3 linked regions of the Arabidopsis thaliana genome follow. The protein of the gene in region 3 interacts with the protein of the main gene of each other region in a pairwise test. Each region holds a gene or a part of one and is shown on either strand. Other genes may lie near its edges.

Region 1 (10,737 bases), on a different chromosome or scaffold from region 3:
CGCAATGCCCTCCCAATCGATTCAATCACAATTTACACTTGGTAAATTACACAATAAAATTGACAAAAATCGACAACAAGACAACAAAAACAAATTCGTAAATTAAAGAATGATCACTGCGGGATGCAGATTCAATTAACGATCTAAGAAGCATGGAATAAGAAATGGGGGTGAGAGAAAAATCCAATCTTACCAAAAAAAGAAGTAAAACCCTGTGAATCTGATGTGCGTATCGTTTCTTCTTTACCATCAACGCATCTTATGTCTAGACAAACATTGGAGAATCAGATTCCTTGGGATGTCTCTCGTGTTTGGATCCGTGCTAAATACTTCAAACAGGTTTGATTCTGTCGTGTACTAGTTTAGGACTATACACCACGAGAACTTTTTAGATACGGGTGAGAAGTTTGGGTTTGTGACCTGAATTTTGGAGGAAGAAAGGGGATCTGCGGTTTGATTCAATATTGGGCTATTGGGTCTTTAACGGGCTTGTCATTTCGTTCCATTATATAATAGTGAAAGTGGCTAAAAGAATGTTGTTTTAGTCCCAACGAGATGGGAAGACGACTAGAAACCAACCCCAACGAATTACCAACAAGTTTGATATGTAGTACATAGACTAATTTTTATGAAAAAAATAGTTTGGTCTATGACAAAATATTATCCGTACGTTTTGAAATAAAAAGGTGTCATTACAAATCTTTTGGTTAATTCGCTCAAAAGTATAATGAAGTTTGATAGTAGACAAATATCAATCCAAGCGGCGTTGGGATAACAAGAGAACCGAAATAAATAAACAAATTTGATGGTGTCGCTGTCGTCGTCATATAACAAAAATCAAATTTTCCCAACAAAAAATAGTTAGCGGCAATGTCTTGGATACGTGGAAATTAGTCTATCTATATATACATACGTGCTTATTTGGGCTAAATAAATAAATAGTGCAAATAATTATGGCTTACAAAAATTCACATTATAATTATAATGGCAAAAGACAACCGACAACTTCTCCCCAGAAAGCAATCAGTATATCGCCTTTAATTACCGCGATATGAGAGAAGAGAAGAAGCTGATAAATTGAAGAATAGACTGTACTAGTATCAAAATAGCAAAGCAATTAAGCTTTTTAAGAGAAGAAGAGAGGACATACATAAGTGGAAAGTAACCAATAGCCATTAGCCAACACCCTTCTCATCTACGTTTTTATTTATTTATTAATCAACTTAAAGTTTGGTTTTAAAATTTAAAAAACTAACCATGATTAAACAAAACAAGTAGTACAAACAAAAATAGCCAATAATAATTGTAGTAGTTTCACATAGTGCGCTTTATTAATACTTAGTGGACTTTAGTAACTTATGAACATACTCACTAGTATAATTTGACACTATTTTCCTTTCATTGGTTACAGATTTTCTAACCAATTGCATTGACCAACTGACCTAAAATAATGTTTTGTAGATTCCAATATTTAAAATAAATACAATTATTAGAAAAATCAATGCCTTCTTTGGAAAAAAAAAATCGGTATGTGGCTCTATTAATTGAAAACATATTTTATATTTGACTTTGTTTTTTTTATTGAAAGTGATTTGATAGCATCGTTGAATGATTTAGTAATATCTCCCGTAAGAATTTAATTATCCCGTTAGACTTTTTAACAGACCAGCCAGATGGGACCAACGTGCACTGTTTTTTGGCCGGAGAATGTATAAAAAATATTGAAGATGCAGTGAACACTGACCACCATTCACTTCTCCACAACTTTTAATGACCGGTTTACAAAATAAAACATAGTACTATATAATTTTCAACGTGTTAGTCTGATTTTTATATTTCTAAAGAGAAGTACTCATCTATTTTTGAGCTATTAATCTATTACAATTTGTGTTCTGATCTGGAGAGTGGAGAGTTATTTCAAAGTAAAGTATGTAGATTGTAGAGGATCTATCGAGAATCTACTCATTTAAAATAGTTTGACGTTGTAGCAAACAATTTTTTTGTCATTGATGATTTGTATTGTTTGTAAATATTATTTAGAAACCAAATCGAATTTTTAGTTGAAAATTATAATCTGTTTAATAAGTGATAATTACATCATGCACATGTACCTAGTGACTCATAATGAAACGTATCATAATGGATTGACGAGTAGTTGTCTGATATTGACATCTTAATTTATAACTTCCCTTTTCATTGTTAATGTTCCTTACTGTCTTCTGATTGATAATAAAGACGTTGACATGTCAAACCACATAATTATTTGAAAAATATATATTATTTCTTCAGATTTTCATCATTTGTTATAAGTCTCGATAAGACAGTTTTTGTTTTTTTAACAATTTTTTACAAAAAACTTACGACCATAATTTAGTTCAGGCGAAAATCAGTGAATCATTAATCATATTTATTAGTTTGGATTTTTATGTGTTTTTCTTTTTATGTATTTGAGGATTTTTCAGTTTGTGAAAACAAATCTAATATGCTTATTTGATTTCTTCTTTATTTGCTGTATTCTTAATATATCTTGCAGAGCTAAGGTAATACTCAAATTTTTTTTTTCCACACGTAAAAACTCATATTTATCAGTTTGGAATTACTGTATTCTTTTTAGTAGTCCTCTCACTCGCCATGGCAAGAAGAAGGTTTTTTTTTCCTTTTTCTTGCATTCCATGTTAATCAGTATTTGAATAAAAAAGCAAGCTAAATCGGCAAATGAACTTATATCCAAATAATCAAGATATCAATCTGTGTAAGCATTACTAGAAAAGTAGAGATACTCGTGTTACCGTGTAAATTAAAAGAATAAAAATGTGCTTTTCAAAAGTTATATACTTTTCTTGTGCACCCATAACTTTAGCAAAAGCAACCATCATCATTCTTGAGCAATTAAAACAAATAATATTGATCTTCATTTGGTGCCAAAATACTTTACGGTAATGACGTCAAACTCGATGTTTCTTGTCAAAGTCTGAAAGACCAATATAAAATAACACTAGACACATTATAAAATTAACATATTGGTTCATTGTAATTAAACCGTCGAATATATATAACGAAAATACCAATTACGCTGTGAATAAACAAACAAAATCATTTTATTAGTCATCGAGTAAATAAATTCGATTATAATCCTCAATAGTCAATATATATATAGCTCACATCACATTATGCGATTAACAAAAACAATCCAAAACAGTTAAATGATTAGAAATTAAACGAGTCTCACTAAATTATTAACGACTCCAAATCACGAGAAGGCTTAAGAGTTATCATGTCGGGAGAATTTAACTGATAACCTCTTCCATTATCTCTCAATCACGTGATTTTTGTTCAACGAGTACCGCATCTCAAGAATAAAAATGGCAATTTAGGTAAATATTTGTCATTTTCAAGGGCAATGGAACTTAAAGATGCATTTCAGAAGGAAAAGCTTTGTCGTGTTATGAGGGAAATGTGGGGACGCAGCTACTTCGCTTTCAAACCGTTGGATGAATATCCTTTAAGGTTCATCGTACAAGATCGACGGCACTCACCGAGGGTGTACTCATGTTGTGACACAGAGGATCATGTCTACTTGGAGTACAGCTAGCAGCTAGAGATTCTGAGCCGATAACGTCGAGAATTGTAGCCGGCTAAGTCGTATATGCTGGTTTAAACTTTAATCTGTACTTATATATAAGTCAACGTGCTTATCAAAATCAGCTCCCTTATCGTGTGATAGGTGCATTGTCTTATTAGACTCCGTTATCCGTCACCTTCGCATATTAAAATCACTTTTTATTTTTTGGTTTTAAATTAAAGTCTCCATTTCTGCAAGATTTTAATGTTCGTATAAATAAGCCTGAAGAGAGAGAGAGAGAGAGAGAGAAAACTTGTTTTTTTTTTTTCCATTAGTTTTTTTCTTACTTTCTGGTCGAGAGAGGAGAGTCCAAAAAACCCAAATCCTTGGCCTCTTTCAATATCAGGAGAGAGAAACTGAAGCTCTGGCCTTTGTTTCTGAAATCGATCGTCTTCTTCTTCTTCATGGCAAGTAACGTATCTAGGTCTTTCATTTTTGGTTTAATATCTAAATCGTAGCTTTTCTGGGTTTTTGATTTTTGTTTTTGTCTCATGGAAGTGAAAAAGATGGCCATTTTAAGCTTTATATTTAATTCGGTGGACAATAATAATACTAGGAAGACCTAATTTTTGTGTAGCCCAATTAAACACTAATTAAATCCGCCGGAATAGAGACTTTTGGAGAATTTTCCGGAGGATAGTTGTAAAGATCTAGTTATATACTGTGTAATTAAGAGGCTGTGTCTATTTTCATTTTTTAAAAATAATAATTAAATGGAGGAATATCTGAAACCCAGTAAATTGGGATGATTTGATGGTTTTGTAAGGTTATCATCGTCGCCATTATATTGATATGCAGATCTGGTGGGTTTTTCTGCATCTGACTTGATAGCTTTATCGGACTGAGTGGCAAAATCAATCATGTCTTCTCTGAGCAGAGAGCTCGTCTTCTTGATCTTACAGTTTTTAGATGAAGAGAAGTTTAAAGAGACTGTTCATAAGTATGTCCGATCTCTCTTTTCCTTTTTGTCTTTTATTAGGCATTATTATTAACTTGATTGATTATTAATTAGGCTTGAACAAGAATCTGGGTTTTTCTTCAATATGAAGTATTTTGAGGATGAGGTGCACAATGGTAACTGGGATGAGGTTGAGAAGTATCTCTCTGGTTTTACTAAAGTTGATGATAATCGATACTCCATGAAGATTTTCTTCGAGATTAGGAAGCAGAAGTATCTCGAGGCCTTGGATAGGTAACTTGTGTCTCTCAACAACAACAAGAATCAAATGTTTTCATATTGCCAATCAATCACACCTGCTGCTGCTTCTATCTAGGCATGATCGTCCCAAGGCTGTCGATATTTTAGTCAAAGATTTGAAAGTGTTTTCCACTTTTAATGAGGAGCTTTTCAAGGAAATCACTCAGCTCTTGACCTTAGAAAACTTCAGGGAGAACGAGCAGTTATCCAAGTATGGGGACACAAAGTCCGCCAGAGCTATCATGTTGGTGGAACTCAAGAAGTTGATTGAAGCTAATCCTTTATTCCGTGATAAATTGCAGTTTCCTACCCTTAGAACTTCACGCCTCAGGACTCTGATTAATCAGAGGTATTCTTTGTCCTTTCTTGTTCACTTCAACAAATTTTCTTCTTGTCAGCTACTTTAACTCCTTGTTTCTATGTGGCTACATAAACCTGCAGCTTAAATTGGCAACACCAGCTTTGTAAGAACCCAAGGCCTAATCCTGATATTAAGACTCTCTTTGTCGATCATTCCTGCCGCCTACCAAATGATGCACGAGCACCATCCCCTGTCAACAATCCGCTTCTTGGATCATTACCAAAAGCCGAGGGATTTCCTCCTCTAGGCGCACACGGGGTAGGTCAATTTCCACCTGATTTTTCGTATTTTCTATAAGTGCCATTTCTACTGCTTTTGGTTCTAGCTCTATAGTTACCTTTACATGCCGTGCTTGACTTACCTTTATGTCTTTAGCCTTTTCAACCAACACCTTCTCCGGTTCCGACACCTCTTGCTGGTTGGATGTCTAGTCCTTCCTCTGTCCCACATCCAGCTGTGTCTGGAGGACCCATTGCTCTTGGTGCTCCATCCATCCAAGGTTATTTGCTTATCAAATGTGGTGTTTCTTTATAAAAGCTGTGTGGAACTATAGTCTTAAATTTTATCCTCGCCTTTTTTTCAGAACCTTTAAGTTTCACCTGTGATCTATGTAACATGTTCTCCTTTTTGGTTCTTAGCAGCCTTGAAACACCCGAGAACTCCTCCTTCTAATTCCGCTGTAGACTATCCATCAGGTGACTCAGACCATGTCTCAAAGCGAACCAGACCTATGGGAATCTCTGACGAGGTGAGAAAAATCTTAATTAATATTATATATTTTCTTATCAATACCAATTTTACATAATTGGTAGTACTAGTTTAGACTTTAAACGTATTTCTTCTTTCTCCCCATATGTAGGTGAGTCTAGGTGTGAACATGTTACCAATGACATTCCCGGGGCAGGCTCATGGTCATAATCAAACCTTCAAAGCACCTGATGACTTGCCCAAGACAGTTGCACGAACTTTGAGCCAAGGCTCATCTCCCATGAGCATGGATTTCCATCCTATTAAACAGACTCTGCTACTAGGTCTGTTTCTTGGTCTGTATGCATATTTCATGTAACATACATCATCAGAAATTTTGTAAAACCAGAAGTTTCTTGCTTCAATTTTCTTTGTTCCAGTTGGTACGAATGTAGGGGATATTGGGCTCTGGGAAGTCGGTTCTCGAGAACGTCTAGTCCAGAAGACTTTCAAAGTTTGGGACTTGAGTAAATGTTCGATGCCCTTGCAGGTGTCTTCTTTTGTGAAAATCAACCAGAATATTAATATCTAATATCTATTTGAAACTTCAGTGACCAACAATTCTGGTCTTTATAGGCTGCTTTGGTGAAAGAACCTGTCGTTTCTGTCAACCGTGTGATTTGGAGCCCGGACGGTTCCCTATTCGGTAAGACTTGAGATTACAAATGCTCTTTCAACCGATTTGAGTATTCATATGCGCACGTTTTCAACTGCAGGAGTTGCTTATTCGAGACATATTGTACAGCTATACTCTTATCACGGTGGTGAAGACATGAGGCAACACCTTGAGGTGTGATATAGTTTACAACAACATTTTAGGAGTATTTCTTTCATTTCCTGTAATGAAAATCATTTTTTATTATTTCAGATTGATGCTCATGTTGGCGGTGTCAATGACATTGCATTTTCCACTCCGAACAAGCAACTATGTGTTACTACTTGTGGTGATGACAAAACCATCAAGGTTCAGTATTTTTTTTCTTCTTTCATTTCCTTAACTCTTGTTTTTTTTTTTTTTTGTTGGAACTCTAAAAACAGACTAATCAATTCTGTGAATTAAGGTCTGGGATGCTGCAACGGGTGTAAAACGGTATACTTTTGAAGGCCATGAAGCTCCTGTTTACTCTATCTGCCCTCACTACAAGGAAAACATTCAGGTAAAGTAGCAATATTTATACGGTTTCATTTTTGCTAAGTACAAGTTGAAATTCGTTTCTATTTGGTTTTGACTTGTTTATTTCTTCTTCTGCTTAAGTTTATCTTTTCAACTGCTCTTGACGGAAAAATAAAAGCATGGTTATATGATAATATGGGTTCTCGGGTTGACTACGAAGCTCCTGGTCGCTGGTGTACAACGATGGCCTACAGTGCTGATGGAACTAGGTTATAACATGATTCTCATCATCTTTATGTTGTGGTTCTGTTCTGTATCGTCATGAAGTGATAATAAATTTAAAATCTATTTTTTATTATATTCACATGGATAGGCTATTTTCTTGTGGGACGAGTAAAGATGGGGAATCGTTCATAGTTGAGTGGAATGAAAGCGAAGGAGCTGTGAAGAGAACTTATCAAGGATTCCACAAGCGTTCCCTTGGTGTTGTCCAGTTTGATACTACTAAAAACCGTTATCTCGCTGCGGGTGACGACTTCTCCATTAAGTTCTGGGATATGGACACCATACAGCTTTTGACTGCCATTGATGCTGATGGAGGTCTCCAGGTATGCAAACAAATACCTCGATTCTCCCTGGGAACCGAATGTTTTCATTTGCAGCCATCATGGCTCTCTATGTTTTGTAGGCAAGTCCACGGATCAGATTTAACAAGGAAGGCTCTCTCTTGGCTGTTTCCGCAAATGACAATATGATTAAGGTTATGGCAAACTCAGATGGTCTAAGGCTATTGCACACAGTCGAGAACTTATCTTCTGAATCCTCCAAGGTACTGAATTTTGTGCTCACTGGATCTTCAACAAGCAAATTACTAACCCCCAATTTGAAATTTCTTCAACACTTTATTTTTCATGTACATTTGCAGCCTGCAATCAACAGCATTCCGATGGTAGAGAGACCTGCCTCTGTCGTTTCCATCCCTGGAATGGTACGAAAATCGATACTTTTTCCGTCAGTTTCTCTATCTCTTGGTCTGGGTCCAATCATCGTTGTTGATCACTTACCTTTCCAACAGAATGGAGATTCGCGGAATATGGTGGATGTGAAGCCAGTGATTACCGAAGAATCAAATGATAAGTCTAAGGTATGGAAGCTTACTGAAGTCGGCGAACCCTCTCAGTGCCGTTCATTGAGACTCCCTGAGAATATGAGAGTCACCAAGGTACTAACACATAGACTGACATAACTGTACTTATATGGCTTGATTCTAATGACTCAAAACTTGAGCAGATATCGAGATTGATTTTCACAAATTCGGGAAATGCAATTTTGGCATTGGCATCAAATGCTATTCATCTGCTATGGAAGTGGCAGCGAAATGACCGTAATGCAACTGGGAAGGTACTTATGGTCTAAAATCTTCCTTTAAGATCGCCAAAAGAGTTGAAATCATGATGAAATTCAATTTGAGATTTTGTGTAGGCAACGGCTTCTTTACCTCCTCAGCAGTGGCAACCAGCGAGCGGGATCTTAATGACAAACGATGTGGCTGAAACTAATCCAGAAGAAGCCGTACCCTGTTTTGCTTTATCGAAAAATGATTCCTACGTGATGTCAGCATCGGGAGGAAAGATCTCTTTGTTTAATATGATGACGTTTAAGGTAAAATCCCAGCTACAGACAGCACTATGTCTAATGTATGCAAACAATGCTTCATCTGTTACATTTAATTGTGTTGTTGGCTAAGCGCAGACAATGGCTACTTTCATGCCGCCTCCTCCTGCCGCAACGTTTCTTGCTTTTCACCCTCAAGATAACAATATCATTGCGATCGGGATGGATGACAGTACAATACAGATTTACAATGTTCGTGTTGATGAGGTTAAGAGCAAGCTTAAAGGACATTCTAAGAGAATAACCGGCCTCGCTTTCTCCAATGTATTAAACGTTCTGGTTTCGTCTGGAGCAGACGCTCAGGTGCTGATTCATCTCATGTTTTGTAATAAAGAATCCAAATCCTTAGAAGTCTTAGTGTGAATCTTTTGGTTTTTGTATGCAGCTTTGCGTATGGAACACGGATGGATGGGAGAAGCAGAAAAGCAAGGTTCTGCAAATTCCACAGGGAAGATCCACGTCTTCTTTGTCAGACACGCGTGTTCAGTTTCATCAAGATCAAGTACACTTCCTTGTGGTCCATGAAACTCAGCTCGCTATATACGAAACAACCAAGCTTGAATGCATGAAACAGGTTTTAGTCTTTATATATGTTCATTCTCTCTCCTTGCATCTGAGTAACCCTTATAGAAGAAAGAAATGTCTTTATTTTGATTCCAGTGGCCTGTGCGTGAATCAGCAGCTCCAATAACACATGCCACATTCTCATGTGATAGCCAATTGATATACACAAGTTTCATGGACGCTACAATATGCGTCTTCAGCTCTGCAAACCTTCGATTGCGTTGCAGAGTCAATCCCTCTGCATATTTGCCAGCTTCTCTCAGGTGAGTTAATGAAATGAATATAAACTAGTGCAATGTTGGATCATGAATCTTGAGTCTTCATGTTGATGTTTTGTGCAGCAACTCGAATGTCCATCCACTGGTGATAGCGGCTCATCCGCAAGAATCCAACATGTTTGCAGTGGGTCTGTCAGACGGAGGGGTCCATATATTCGAGCCGCTTGAGTCAGAAGGTAAATGGGGAGTAGCTCCACCGCCTGAAAATGGCTCAGCCAGCGCTGTCACGGCTACACCTTCCGTTGGAGCTTCTGCCTCTGACCAGCCTCAGAGATGATCTGCTTCAGTTTCTTACTCTGTTTTTTTTGTGGGGGTTTTAGATCTTTTCCGATTTATTATTGTTTTGTTTGTGTGGGGGGAAGAAAGCATTCTAACAAGGTAAATGAATTAATAGCTTACAAGTTCTTCTTAATTGGTTAATTCGATGTTGCTTGCCTCTGATATTTTGGTCTTGAGAAATATCAGTTTTGCAAAAGGACGAATTTGCAATTTTGCACTCCGAATCTAAGCACGAACTAAGGATTGAATGCCACGTGCAGCTTCGAGATAGGTTTGGATATTCGTTTTGAGATACGAAGGAAGAATTACTAAGGCCTATGCGGCCCACGGCCCACAGACTTATATATCTACAATGATAAATATCTTCAAAAATAGTAATTTTGAGAAAATATTGAGAAGAGACAGAGAAAAAAAATCGAGTGAAAATTATCTGGTGTGTGTATCTAGAAGAAGCTACAGAGTGGGACGAGGTTTAAACTCGCCAATCGCCATTGACCTCTCGCTTGCTTTCTTTAACTAAAATGGCGACGCTATCAACACTAGAGATTGCTACGACCTTCCTCTCTTTCACCGCTCCTCGTTCCTCTGCCGCCTTCAACTATCGCTTTTCTTCTGCCGCCGTCTCTGTTCTCTCCAGGCCCAGAGCTACCACCGTTTCCGTCAGAACGACGCCGTCTTTCTTCTATTCCCCGGTGGTCCGCCGTCAAAGATTCTCATCTGTCTCCGCCTCAGCTACGCAGACTGAAGATTCTGATGTCACCACTAAGATTCCGCCAGATAACCGGATTCCGGCTACTATTATCACCGGTTTTTTGGGCTCTGGCAAGGTCAGTCAGTGTTTCTCATCATTTCATATCTATTCTAGGGTTTAAAATTAGCCCTGCTAAGTAAAAGAAATGT
Region 2 (5,505 bases), 300 kb from region 3:
TACCATGGTCATAACAAAATGACGAAAATTTCAGACATCTTAAAAGTTGATCCGTGATCTTGATCCACATGATAAATTTTCCATCCACACAAAAAAAAAATTCCATCCACTCAAGCAAACTAATTATAGTTGAACTAATTTCTATTTATTTTATCTTATTTTTTACATTTTTAATTGTGTTTGTGCAGGCGCGAAAGTGAAGTTGGAGTGCAGGAGCAGAACAAACGGAACCATAACATTGACCAAAGAAGCTGTTACCGACAAAACAGGAAGCTACAAAATGGAAGTAACCGGTGACCACGAGGAAGAAGTTTGCGAGCTTGTTTTGGTCCAATCACCAGACAGTGGTTGCAGTGATGTCAGCACAGAGGCTTACTTACGTAACGCCGCTAAGATCAGTTTAACGGCGAATGACGGAATCGTCTCCCACGAGACACGTATTGTTAACCCTCTCGGTTTCATGGTTCAGACTCCATTGGCTGATTGTCCTGCTGCTTTCAAGGAGCTTGGTATTGTCCCTGACGTAACATTCTAAGCGAAAAGAAAAAAAAGAAAAAAACATATAACATGAGAGATTTTCTATTTGCTTAACTTTATCAAGTTTATAACCATATAATGAATTAATATCATCATTAATTACCTTTTCACGTTTTGGTTTTGTTTGATTTGATGTGTGAGTGATATTTTGTTGTTCTATAGTAAAAAGAATGTAATTTGGTTACACACGATCGAGGAACTTATATATTACTATTAGTTTATTACAAAATAAAAAATAAATCAATGAGTAGAAGTTTACTGTTGAATATTGGATTTAGATCGAAAACCAAATTTAGAAGGGAAAGAGATCTGCTCGGACTCCCAAGTCCTCTAATTTTTTATATATATCTCTTGATAATTCATGCATGTGCTCATATATATGTATATAACACATTACACAACTTAACAAGGGATATAATATTTTTGGATATTCTTGTCACTTAACCTCTAAAATCATTCTCATTGATCATAAAAATATAGGGTATTTAAATATAAAGATGAATTAATGTTATAATTAAAAAGAATTTAAAGAATTAAGACCCATCCCTCCATGTATATTCTTTTAACATTTTTAATATTAAAATATTAAATACTTTAGTTTCAAGACACTCAAAAAAGTGGTTCACCAATGAGGATGCTCTAAAGCCTCTGAATGTTTATCAAACTTCCAAATGTAACATTGCTGTCTTTTCCTCGTTTCTTGGCTATCATATTGGTAATTTTTGAAGTTTTGTTAAATTTAAGTTAGGTGTAAAATAAATTTATGAAAATGTTGCATCCATTATGTCCTGTAATCAGAACGCAGACAAGCTCCTCCATCCAATTATTTTTCCTTTTAAGATTAAACAGCTAATTTTGTAGATCTGGTTGACTTGATCTTCTTACATGTCCCTTTTCTTTTCCCCTAATTTAGTTTAAATAACTATTTTTGGTGTGGGCAGTTTCCGTTAAAGAGAAGTAACACACTTGTTACAAGAGAGAGGTAACAAAGACAGTAGCTTTTACCATTTTTGTTAAATCATGAAGTCTACTACCTTGTTCATGGTTTCTTGTGTTCTCATATTTTGTGTTCTTAGTCACGTGAGAGGTACGTAATGTACACTATTGTTCTTTCGATTTAGATTAGTATCCTCGGTTTAAAAGACAAAAAAAAACTTACTGCATTATCAATTTTTATATATTAAATAATCATTTTATTTACAATTTTGACATTATTTTTGTTGTGTGTATGTATGATTGATAAAAATAAAAAACGAATAGAGGTGAAATCGGTGGAGACTAAGGCCAAGAGAGTGAAGAAGGTGTGCGAAAAGGCACAAGTATTCGAACAAAATTGTGGGTGGGACGGAAACAAAACTTGCATAAGAGGCTTTAATAAAATCAAAGAATACCCTTTTCATTGCGAGTGTGGCATTTATGATGCACCCAATAGCAGACGTATTTGCAAATGTAAATTTCCATATTCTCCTTGCTAAATTTTCATGTAGTTTTTTTTTAAATGTTAAAAAAAATTTCATGTAGTTCCAGAACCATAGTTTATCTATCTAGAAATTAATAAATTAAATGTTATTTAAGGTTTAACTAACCAGTAAGATGAACCCTTTTACTTCCTTCCATGTTATTGTGAAACATGTCTGAAGGAGTTAATCTCCAACGCCATGAATTAATCATTCCCGGTTACTCCATTTCTAAAACTCTTTATAAATATGTATTGATATAAGCCAAATTATATGTCGTACGATCTTGTAGTCTTTATCATACATTTCAGAAAAAATATAACTATAGATTAAAACCTAGCTAGCCGGAATAGTTTTTAATCTATAACATTCGATTTAATTTAACTATTCAAACTTCCTCTTCTTTCTTTACATTATCTCTCATAAGAACTCAATAGTAGATTGCAATTAAAAGTCTTGCTGAAACCAACTTAATTTCTTATATTGACTAAACTCGTAAATGTCTCCTTGATTAATTTTTCGATAATTTTTTTTTTCTTTTGACTAAAGAAACAAAATCGTCAGAGATTTTAGAATGTGAGATTGTGATTGTGATTTTGGCTCTTTTTGCTAGTCTATATCCGTGAATTTAAATTTGGAGATGGAAAAAGAAAAGTTATATTAACAGAAATCACATTTTGGTTTAATTTTTATATCGGTTTTGGTTCGATTATCGGCTACCCTGAAGGTTAAAAACTAATGTAAAAGAGTGATGCTAGTTTGGGCTTAAAATGGATCTATAAATTTTAGGCTCATCTGGCCTCTTTCTGAGCTTGCCATTTTGGATTAAGTCTAAGTTCTAATCTCTAACTTCTCATCTCTGTTCTTATTTGTTTCCTTTCCTTTTTGTCTACTTTCTTTTCTTTTAACATCTGTCAACTATTTGGTTCTTATAATACACTATAAATGTGTGATTAATAAGTGTGATTCGTGTAAACCAACGTGGAACCATTATTTGCCACTATTTTTAACACAGTCCATGTCATATAACCCGCCAACCACAACCGCAAATTGTTCCTTACAGTATTTTGTATACAATTTGCTATGCTACACTGTTTGATACTTACTCAGGCCGTTAAAGTATTTTGGTATTTATGTGCATGTATAAAATATCACAATGGACTTAAACTAAATATTTTATTCCAAAGTTAAATGTCATATAGAATATATAAATAAATTTTCGTTGTTACTTGTTATGCGTTCAGAATTTCATAATTTTAGTATTTCTTTCAGTCGGCCTTGTTCTAAAGATATTTCTCATCTTTTTGTCGACCTATAGATTTTTCTCATATATAAATACTAAAAAAAACTTGCCACTACGTAAAATATTTGAAGACAACAACCACAACTGTCGGTAGGAAAACAAAATTGTGAAACACCAAACAAACACGTATGAAAACATCTCAAGAACAGCATGTATGCGGTTCGACAGTAGTACAAACTATCAATGCTCCGTTACCTCTAGTATGGTCGATCCTACGTCGATTTGATAACCCAAAAACATTTAAACATTTCGTAAAAACTTGTAAACTACGCTCCGGCGATGGAGGAGAAGGCTCTGTCCGTGAAGTCACGGTGGTTTCCGATCTTCCGGCGAGTTTTAGCCTAGAAAGATTAGATGAACTTGACGATGAGTCTCATGTGATGGTGATCAGCATTATTGGTGGTGATCATCGTTTGGTTAATTACCAGTCGAAAACTACGGTGTTTGTGGCGGCGGAGGAGGAGAAGACAGTGGTTGTGGAGAGTTATGTGGTGGATGTGCCGGAAGGAAATACTGAGGAAGAAACTACGTTGTTTGCTGATACTATCGTTGGGTGTAATCTTAGGTCATTGGCTAAGTTATCGGAGAAGATGATGGAGCTCACTTAAAGTTGTAAAAGTCGTGGGATTGTAATAATAGTATTAGTTTTTAGAATTTAAAAGTAAAACTCTTACATTTTTACGAGGTTTTGGATATATAGCAACTAGCAAAATATGCTTATTCAACTGGGAATAATATAGGTATAATTATGTATTTATATGTCTTGTGAAATTAAAAATAATTGTTTAAGTTTCTTTCTTAAATGTCATTATTCTGTTTGCCCAAAAGTATATACAATTTTAGTTTGAGTCCATTTCTAAACTCTCCTTTGTAAATGTATTGATATAAGCCAAATTTTGAAATCATTCAAGTTAAAAAGTTAAAATCATTTTTTTTTCTTTTGATTAAAACTCTTGTTGTTGTAACAGGAATTGACTTGTGAGTACTAACGTGTCCAGCGAAATAGCTTTCTAAAGCAGACTCTGATCGTTCAGTGTCTTATACCTTCTCAGTTGAAACTTGATGCCAAAGAGCGTCTTTTAGCATGTGCAAGTGAAGAAATTAAACATAGTTCGCTTATAAAATAAAAAGTATATTTTATGATTCATTTTTTTCTTGCACAAAAAAAAAATACAAAAAGTTGAAATACAATGGTAATTAATGTAATTAACCCTTCGTCTCCAACAGCTTCTTTTTAAAGAGGAAAAATAGTTTAAATTCTGTTATATTTGGCTGTAGCTCAATTGTTCAACTTCTACTTATTTTTACACTTTTTCTCACAAGAAACTAATTACATACTAGTAGAATGAAGAGCCATTTCAAACTATTTTTACTTGAAGGTAATATTTAAAAAACATTTTGCTAATATGTTGGTAAACAATTAAAAAAAAAAATAACCTCACTTATACATATTTACTTAAGATTTTCTTAAACAAAATTAGGATTGTTCGATTATCCTACTTACATATGCTAAAATACGGCCTTGAATCTTGATAGATTGCATGCAAAAGTCTTACCGAAATTATTTTCATCTCTAATCATATTGATCGACTGAACTCGTAAACGTTTTATTCTGTTTAACTTTATTTTATTGTGTGTCTATTTTTATTTTTGATCAGATTAAAATATAAGAGTTTGAAAATGTGAGATTGCGATTACGATCGAAGGTTCAATTATTTGGTCCTTTTCAAATTGTTAACAAAAGAAAAAGGGACCCTATAAAAGTTAAACAGAAATACAATTTGGTTAAGCTTATCGGTTTCCGGTTCAATTATCTTTACCTTCTGAAGGAGTAAGTGATGCTATTTTGGGCTTCAAATGGATCTTTAATCTGTAGGCTCATTGGGCCTGTTCTCAACTTGGCGTTTAAAGATATGTCCTTCCCTCTCTCATCTGTTCTTGTTTGTTTTTTTTTTGTTTGTTTTTTTTCATTTAGTCAAGTTTTTATCAACAAAAACAATGTCTATAAATGTGTGGTAAATAAGTGTGGTTCGTATGAACGAAATCGAAAACGTGGATCTATTACATGCCACTAGTTTTTCCACAATCCATGTCATAACCCTCCAAATTTAACCGAAATACATTCTTCATTACAATGACGTTACAAAACAAATGTGCATTCTAAAGTTTACAATTTATTTAAATATATTTTACGGACAAATATGTAGC
Region 3 (6,796 bases):
GACCTAATAATCCCTACCTTAATCTCTAACACACATTATACATGTTACGAGATATTTACGATTCAGACGAGATATTTAGAATTTTAATTACTGTATCAACGTATGAATATTAATTTATTGGCTAACTACTTACTAGACCAAAAACGCTTTCACCACGTAAGGACAATATTATTTACAAAACTAATATAGGTATCCGTGTAAGGGTGGTCATTGATAGATCCGTTTATTCGTATAGGCAAACTTTTTCGAGTATATTTTCCTCTACATATGCTTTTAGTTTTTTTTTTTTTTTGGGGTTAATTCTCTTTTCCGATCGTATTCCCGCTGACGATACCATGGGTTAAAGTGAACGTACGTAAAGTAGTGTGGGAATATTCTCACTCTACCAAAATAATAAGGTAACACTTTCATAGAACGAGAACCTATGTTACCGTCAACTCAAGTAACTATTTTGAGCTTTTTGCCACTTGGATTTCTCAATTACGAACAAAATCAAACCAACAAAAATGATTTTACAGATTAATACATAATAACGCTTCAGTATCTTTTTTCTTTGACAACATGCATTATCTGAGTTTAAATTTGGTTAGTACTACATCGATAATTTACAAGTACCTATGCTAATAGTCAAAATTCAAATTAAAAATCTAATATCCGAATAAATGGAAATCACGTATATATAACCAATTACAAATAGTTTATAAAAATTCAACCTTTCGTGAATGATTTTGCTATGTATAGACTAAAACCGTGTCAAACCAAATATATTAGTTGGCCTACTGTTCCACCAATATGGATGTCGGGACATACCATACCATCCCTTTCTACATTTGGTATGTTTTCACATTTCTTTTCATGGGAAGACTAAGAACTGGATTACATTTTATTTTTAATATAAATTAGATATTTTATGACCTCTAAGTAATAGTTGAAACCTGGATTCTATCGAGGATGATCGATCTTTCTTTTCTATTATATTTTTTGTTACAATTTTTGGTTTTACTTCTTAAAAGAAATGACTTACAAAAACAGAGCATCAAACTTTCGGGTTTGGCAACTCTGGTTTTTAGCAATTAAAACAACAAAATTACCGAGTGAAAGAGTCTCAAAACCACGAAAAGAAATGTCTCGCAGAGTAATTGTTGCGTATTACTCGGTCAACTTGTTTCAACAAATAACACAGAAGATTCGGTTCTTACGTTCTTGCCATTAGGTGTAACTATAACAGCTTGGGTTGCAATAAGACGAAGGATGGATTATTGGTTATCATGTCGAGGAGACTCGAGGCAAGTTGAGAGTCCCATGATGTGGCATCTCAATCATGATGTGCACCATCGTCACAATTAAGTCATAGCTATTGGGACAACGTTGAAACAATTTGTCTCTTGTTTTCACATATATTTTACAAAGAGGGAAAGTGTTATCTTATCTCCAACAATTCCCAAAGAGCATAAACGGGAGAGGAGGGGTAATCGATTCAAACAGGCGATTCACATGGTGAAAGCATGTTTTGGGACTGAATCCGAGAACCATACTTGATGATACCAAGGGATCGGACTTCCAGAAGTGGCTGCATGTTGTTTGTGAGACATGGATTAATGTCAAGTAGCAGAGGAAAACCTCAACATTGTGGATTTAAGCACCAGAAAACTGCCAACCCTCTTCATTAGTAGCGTTAGCTAAACACTAGTCAATGTTAGAAGCTGTCCATAAGGAATACCAGAAAAAGCATATATTACCGTCTTTAAGCTTGAAATAAAAGGAACCATAAACCATTTCTCCTTAGGTTTAGGAGTTGTTGCCACATGGAGAGCTCCCTAGGCTCTTCTTCATTAGTGGCCAAAAACATCTCCATTTCTTTTTTTCTTTTTTTAAGTTAACTATGAAATTTTAAGATTATGTGACGTATCATTCGAGAAGTCATATGGTTTATGTTGACTGCATTAGCTAATAAAACTCTACTTAAGATTCATGTTAGTGATGTGGAAATTGAGTCATCGTGTATAAAGGCATCCCTTTTCCGAATGCTATGAAAAAACCTAAATTGATCCAACTAAATGGGAAACCATGAACTGCAACTTTATATTATCGGGATATTTTAGGCGAAATAATAAACTAAACTCGAGAATATGAAGTTACTATGTAATTCCAAAATTGTTAAAGAAGAAACTTTATATCTCAAGCATATGACAACTAACTTCTATATAAGTGGCTCTTTGGTCGTTCTTAAAGACATGAACATATAAACAAATTAGAAAATGTTAAAAATATGTTTTGGTCCGATTAAAGCAGCCGCGGGTCCACTAGCTTGTTCCGACTCAAATAGTTTTCGTTATCACTTTCTTCTCTCCATTTTTTTCATACGACATAAAAGTGATATAGTTACACTAAAAAGTTGTTTTGTCCTACGCATAGTGACGTGTAACAATATTTTAAAACTCAATATCACAGTAATATATGACTGGGAAAGTTACAACTTGAGGTGTAAAAGTTGCACACATTAACATATCTATAGGCTATAGCATTGGTACATTTTAAAAAACTATAGCATTTTTTTTACAAAAGATTACATTGAATTATTAGTAAATATATAATATACATAAAAACTGATTATGTTGTAAATCACATAATAATTGTATGATTGAAGATTGAAATGATAAGCCTATTATCGAAAATAAAATTAGTCAAGGAGAAAACTTTGAAAGATATATGAATGAGTTGTTAATTGCTTGTGCATAAGTGTGAACATGTAAATAAACTTTTGAATCTAGGTAGGTCCATTTACTTTGGAATTGTTACATAGAACACTTCAGACAAGTTATGTCTTAATCACTTTATCGGTCACCCATAATTTTGTAAAAAATAAAAGCCACATTCTAACAAACTTTTATAATTCCATTTTACATTTATATACAAATCAATATTCTACCAACTTTGTGCTATAAATATTCATCACACCACAACCATTCAACACTCTACCAACCTCTTCTAATTTCTACAATCACTCTCTTAACTCTTTGCTAAGCACTTCTTGTTAGGAAAAATCATTCCTTAATCACTCTCGAAGCTTTCACACCAATATTACTTCCTTACTACATCTCTTCATTTTAAAGATTTGTTAGTTACTTTTTTTTTTTGTTATTGTACGAAATAATTTGTTTTCTTTCAGACAATGTTCTTGTCACACAAAGAATACAATCGACTTGACTTGCAATTTTTTCTAAACAACAAATCCAGCATCGAGAAAAGTTTCTATTTTTGGATTTTCCAAATATTAACAGTTATAGCTTCGTGACTTCAAGAAATATCCATTTCAAGATTATTTAACCTTTTTTTGTCTAGCAAGTCATCGTATTCTACTTTGTTGTTGCAAATGGGAAGTTCATGTTTACCTCCAGGGTTCCGGTTTCATCCTACGGATGAAGAACTCATCGAATATTACTTGAAAAGAAAAGTCGAAGGTCTCGAGATTGAGCTTGAAGTCATTCCCGTCATCGATCTTTATAGTTTCGATCCTTGGGAGTTACCAGGTAATATATTAACTTCCAAAAATCTATTTAAAGTATTAGGTAACTTTTCAAATTTTTAATATTTTTGTGTTGTTACTTTTAGACAAGTCGTTTCTCCCAAACCGGGACATGGAATGGTACTTCTTCTGCTCAAGGGACAAAAAATATCCTAATGGTTTTCGTACAAATCGAGGAACAAAGGCTGGTTATTGGAAAGCAACCGGAAAAGATCGAAAAATTACTTCTCGTTCATCTTCTATAATTGGTTATAGAAAAACTCTAGTTTTCTACAAAGGCCGTGCCCCGTTAGGCGATAGAAGCAATTGGATCATGCATGAATATCGACTATGCGATGATGATACATCACAAGGATCACAAAATTTAAAGGTAACTTTATAATTTGATCAAGTTCTAAAATGGTTTCGTTTCTTTTGATATTGAGAGACCATTAAGAAATGAATGTGTTTAACTATAGGGAGCTTTTGTGTTATGTCGTGTTGCTATGAAGAATGAGATCAAAACTAATACGAAAATCCGAAAAATTCCAAGCGAGCAAACAATCGGATCAGGAGAAAGCTCGGGTTTATCAAGCCGAGTAACGTCTCCTAGTCGCGATGAAACAATGCCGTTTCACTCATTTGCCAATCCTGTATCTACTGAAACTGATTCTTCCAACATTTGGATTTCACCTGAATTCATCCTCGATTCTTCAAAGGTAATGTGTACACAATTCTAAACATACTGATAACTAACTAAACCAATGTTTGTTAATCGTATACCGGTTTTATAATTTTTGTAGGACTATCCTCAAATCCAAGATGTCGCATCTCAGTGCTTCCAACAAGACTTTGATTTTCCGATCATCGGTAACCAAAACATGGAGTTTCCAGCGAGTACAAGCTTAGATCAGAACATGGATGAGTTTATGCAAAACGGTTATTGGACAAATTATGGATACGATCAAACCGGTTTATTCGGTTACTCAGATTTCTCCTAGACGGAAGTATTTGGTCTCTCTTTACGACAAAAACACCTTTTATCGTTTTAAGTATTGGAAGACTTTTGGCATTGGTCTAAATATATGAATGAGTTTCATAATTCTGTTTTTTTTTCTTTTACTTTTTATGGGATTATTATATTTTATATGAAAATGTTTACCGTTAGTTATATATCTTATATATATGAAGCTGTATTTTATATTCCATATGGATTCTCTTAAAAGTCTCAATAGGATTATGCACTACTGTCATCCTTCAACTATCTATCTCTCATTAGTCATTTCTATTACAATGATTAATTGGACCAGTGTGGTCACCACACTATTATACCATCTTTTTGTGACGTCACTATATATAACCTTTAGAATAAACTTTTGTGGAAGTGATAAGTTGATAACAATGACTCTGTGTAAAACAATCTTTTAACAAAAGGAATCATGGCACCAAAAATACTAAACACTTATGAAGTTATGAACAACATAATTTTTCTCTAATACAGAAAAAAATAGGATTGAAAAATTGCATCTCTATAATAAAAATAAAGGAGCATAATTGAAGTTATAGGATATCAAGTTTCCCAAAAAAAATCTCATCGTTTGACCACTTGGATGAGCTTTATAAAAAAATTATTTTATTTTGGTATTAAAATGTAATGTGATTTTCTAGAAGTATTAAGATTAATAAAATTATTTGTAGGCATATAACAAATTGGGTCCATAGCTCAGTGGTAGAGCAATTGACTGCAGATCAATAGGTCACCGGTTCGAACCCGGTTGGGCCCTGATATTTTTCTTTTTTTATTTTTTACAACTTTTTGTAGTTTTTGCCAAAATTTACCAAGTAACCAACACAAATCAAAAAGTAATCTTTTTTTTTACCAACGTAACTCTTCAAATTAACACCTCGTGTTACAAAATTCCAGAAATTAAAAACATAACAAAATCGGTCGCAACAGAGAATCGAAATCACGTAGTAGAAAACCGAGACAAAACCAAAATAAGCCGTATCGTAACGATACATTCAATCTACACAACCACTAGATTAACCGGTTCTCAATTCGCACCTCCACAGTCTTATCGTACTCCTTAAAGCAGGCGATTGTTCCCAATTCCTCAACCTCATCAATCACAGTATCAAGCCTCGCAACCATTTCCACAAGAAGTGACGCAAACGCAGCAAATGGTAACGCTTCCGAAAACTCCAAACTTTTCATAACCGCGATTTTGCTCAATTGTTTCCTCAATCTCCTCTTCTCTCCGGTCGCCGCCGATTTCTTCACCGATCTTAAGCTAGAGAGTGAAACAACGCTGTTTAACGGAAGTGGTGATACGGTGTCGTTCTCTTCTATAGTTTCTCCCAAAACGCAGCCGTTTGTGTTATTATCGTTGTGATATGAAACGGTGCCGTTTGAGTTAGTTTCGTTGTAATATGAAACGTGGCCGTTTAGGTGCTTGTTAGTGATGTTACTATGAAGGTTAGAGCCTAAGAAGAGCTTAGGTTGTGACTTGATTGTGGAGTTGAGATCTTTTAATGCCGCTTCGAGACTGTCGGAGAGAATCTCCGACGAGCAATGACGTCGGTTTTGAATGCTTTCGGAGAGTTCTGATAAAACTTTGCAGATTTCTCCGGCTAGTCTAACACAAGGATCTTTGAAGAGGACACGGATAGACCTTGGAGTCTTAAAAAATTAACATAAAAACATTATAATAAAACTATATGCTATAATTTTAATTTCTTCTAATGCAAATAAAAGGTTGAATAAATTACCTGAATCTCGGTTTGTAAGCAACCGTGAAGAGCAACAACAGTGTAACCAAACTTGCGAAGAACGGATCCAACTTTGATATATTGTTGGGATGGAAATTTGTTGCAACGCCTTGTGTGTCTTGGCTCCCACTTTGCATACATTGCCTATATAAATATGTGTCAATATGTTCAATATAGATATTGGGACGATATTCATATACAAAAATATCAAATGAATACATTTATAAATGTTCATTAGAAAAGAAACATTTTTACACAAAGATATTCAAGATATATAATTTAACTAGTCGGATTCGAAATAAAGATTTTGATTTAAGATGTCTTACGAGCGCTTCGTCGGCGGATTTAGAATCCAAAACAGTATTATACCCGTTGTAGATTAGGTCTTCATCATCAGATTCAGAATCTGATGTTTCGTTGTCTTTCAGCTTCTCCTCAAAATACTCACTCACACATGCTAACATGTATATAGAATAAAAAACCATTTATACTATGTAACTTTATATTATGCATACACATATA

Evidence for each region.
Region 1: the proteins of NAC096 (region 3) and TPR1 interact in a two-hybrid assay, tested with the Arabidopsis thaliana proteins (one study listed by BioGRID).
Region 2: the proteins of NAC096 (region 3) and PYL12 interact in binary tests that used the Arabidopsis thaliana proteins (3 or more experiments, as listed by UniProt).

The regions. Positions count from the first base shown.
Region 1 is NC_003070.9:30,260,192-30,270,928, reverse strand, and holds TPR1 (TOPLESS-related 1), read left to right. Parts: upstream 1-3,803; 5' UTR 3,804-4,029; intron 4,030-4,388; exon of another isoform or gene 4,389-4,420; 5' UTR 4,421-4,482; coding exon 4,483-4,562; intron 4,563-4,634; coding exon 4,635-4,814; intron 4,815-4,896; coding exon 4,897-5,169; intron 5,170-5,261; coding exon 5,262-5,439; intron 5,440-5,556; coding exon 5,557-5,680; intron 5,681-5,819; coding exon 5,820-5,929; intron 5,930-6,040; coding exon 6,041-6,212; intron 6,213-6,308; coding exon 6,309-6,418; intron 6,419-6,504; coding exon 6,505-6,574; intron 6,575-6,644; coding exon 6,645-6,718; intron 6,719-6,796; coding exon 6,797-6,892; intron 6,893-6,989; coding exon 6,990-7,085; intron 7,086-7,183; coding exon 7,184-7,311; intron 7,312-7,415; coding exon 7,416-7,650; intron 7,651-7,730; coding exon 7,731-7,871; intron 7,872-7,967; coding exon 7,968-8,030; intron 8,031-8,117; coding exon 8,118-8,264; intron 8,265-8,332; coding exon 8,333-8,443; and 12 more. Other genes in the region: PTAC17 (plastid transcriptionally active 17), read left to right, coding at 10,359-10,664. UniProt on the Arabidopsis thaliana protein: Transcriptional corepressor. Activates TIR-NB-LRR R protein-mediated immune responses through repression of negative regulators such as CNGC2/DND1. Negative regulator of jasmonate responses.
Region 2 is NC_003076.8:18,604,964-18,610,468, reverse strand, and holds PYL12 (PYR1-like 12), read left to right. Parts: upstream 1-3,357; 5' UTR 3,358-3,425; coding exon 3,426-3,905; 3' UTR 3,906-4,071; downstream 4,072-5,505. Other genes in the region: AT5G45880 (Pollen Ole e 1 allergen and extensin family protein), read left to right, coding at 189-535; SCRL27 (SCR-like 27), read left to right, coding at 1,558-1,624, 1,798-2,012.
Region 3 is NC_003076.8:18,902,306-18,909,101, forward strand, and holds NAC096 (NAC domain containing protein 96), read left to right. Parts: upstream 1-2,952; 5' UTR 2,953-3,373; coding exon 3,374-3,530; intron 3,531-3,612; coding exon 3,613-3,896; intron 3,897-3,984; coding exon 3,985-4,224; intron 4,225-4,308; coding exon 4,309-4,506; 3' UTR 4,507-4,747; downstream 4,748-6,796. Other genes in the region: AT5G46600 (aluminum activated malate transporter family protein), read right to left, coding at 5,544-6,185, 6,275-6,418, 6,601-6,731. UniProt on the Arabidopsis thaliana protein: Transcriptional activator involved in the positive regulation of abscisic acid (ABA) responsive genes. Acts as a positive factor of ABA-mediated responses.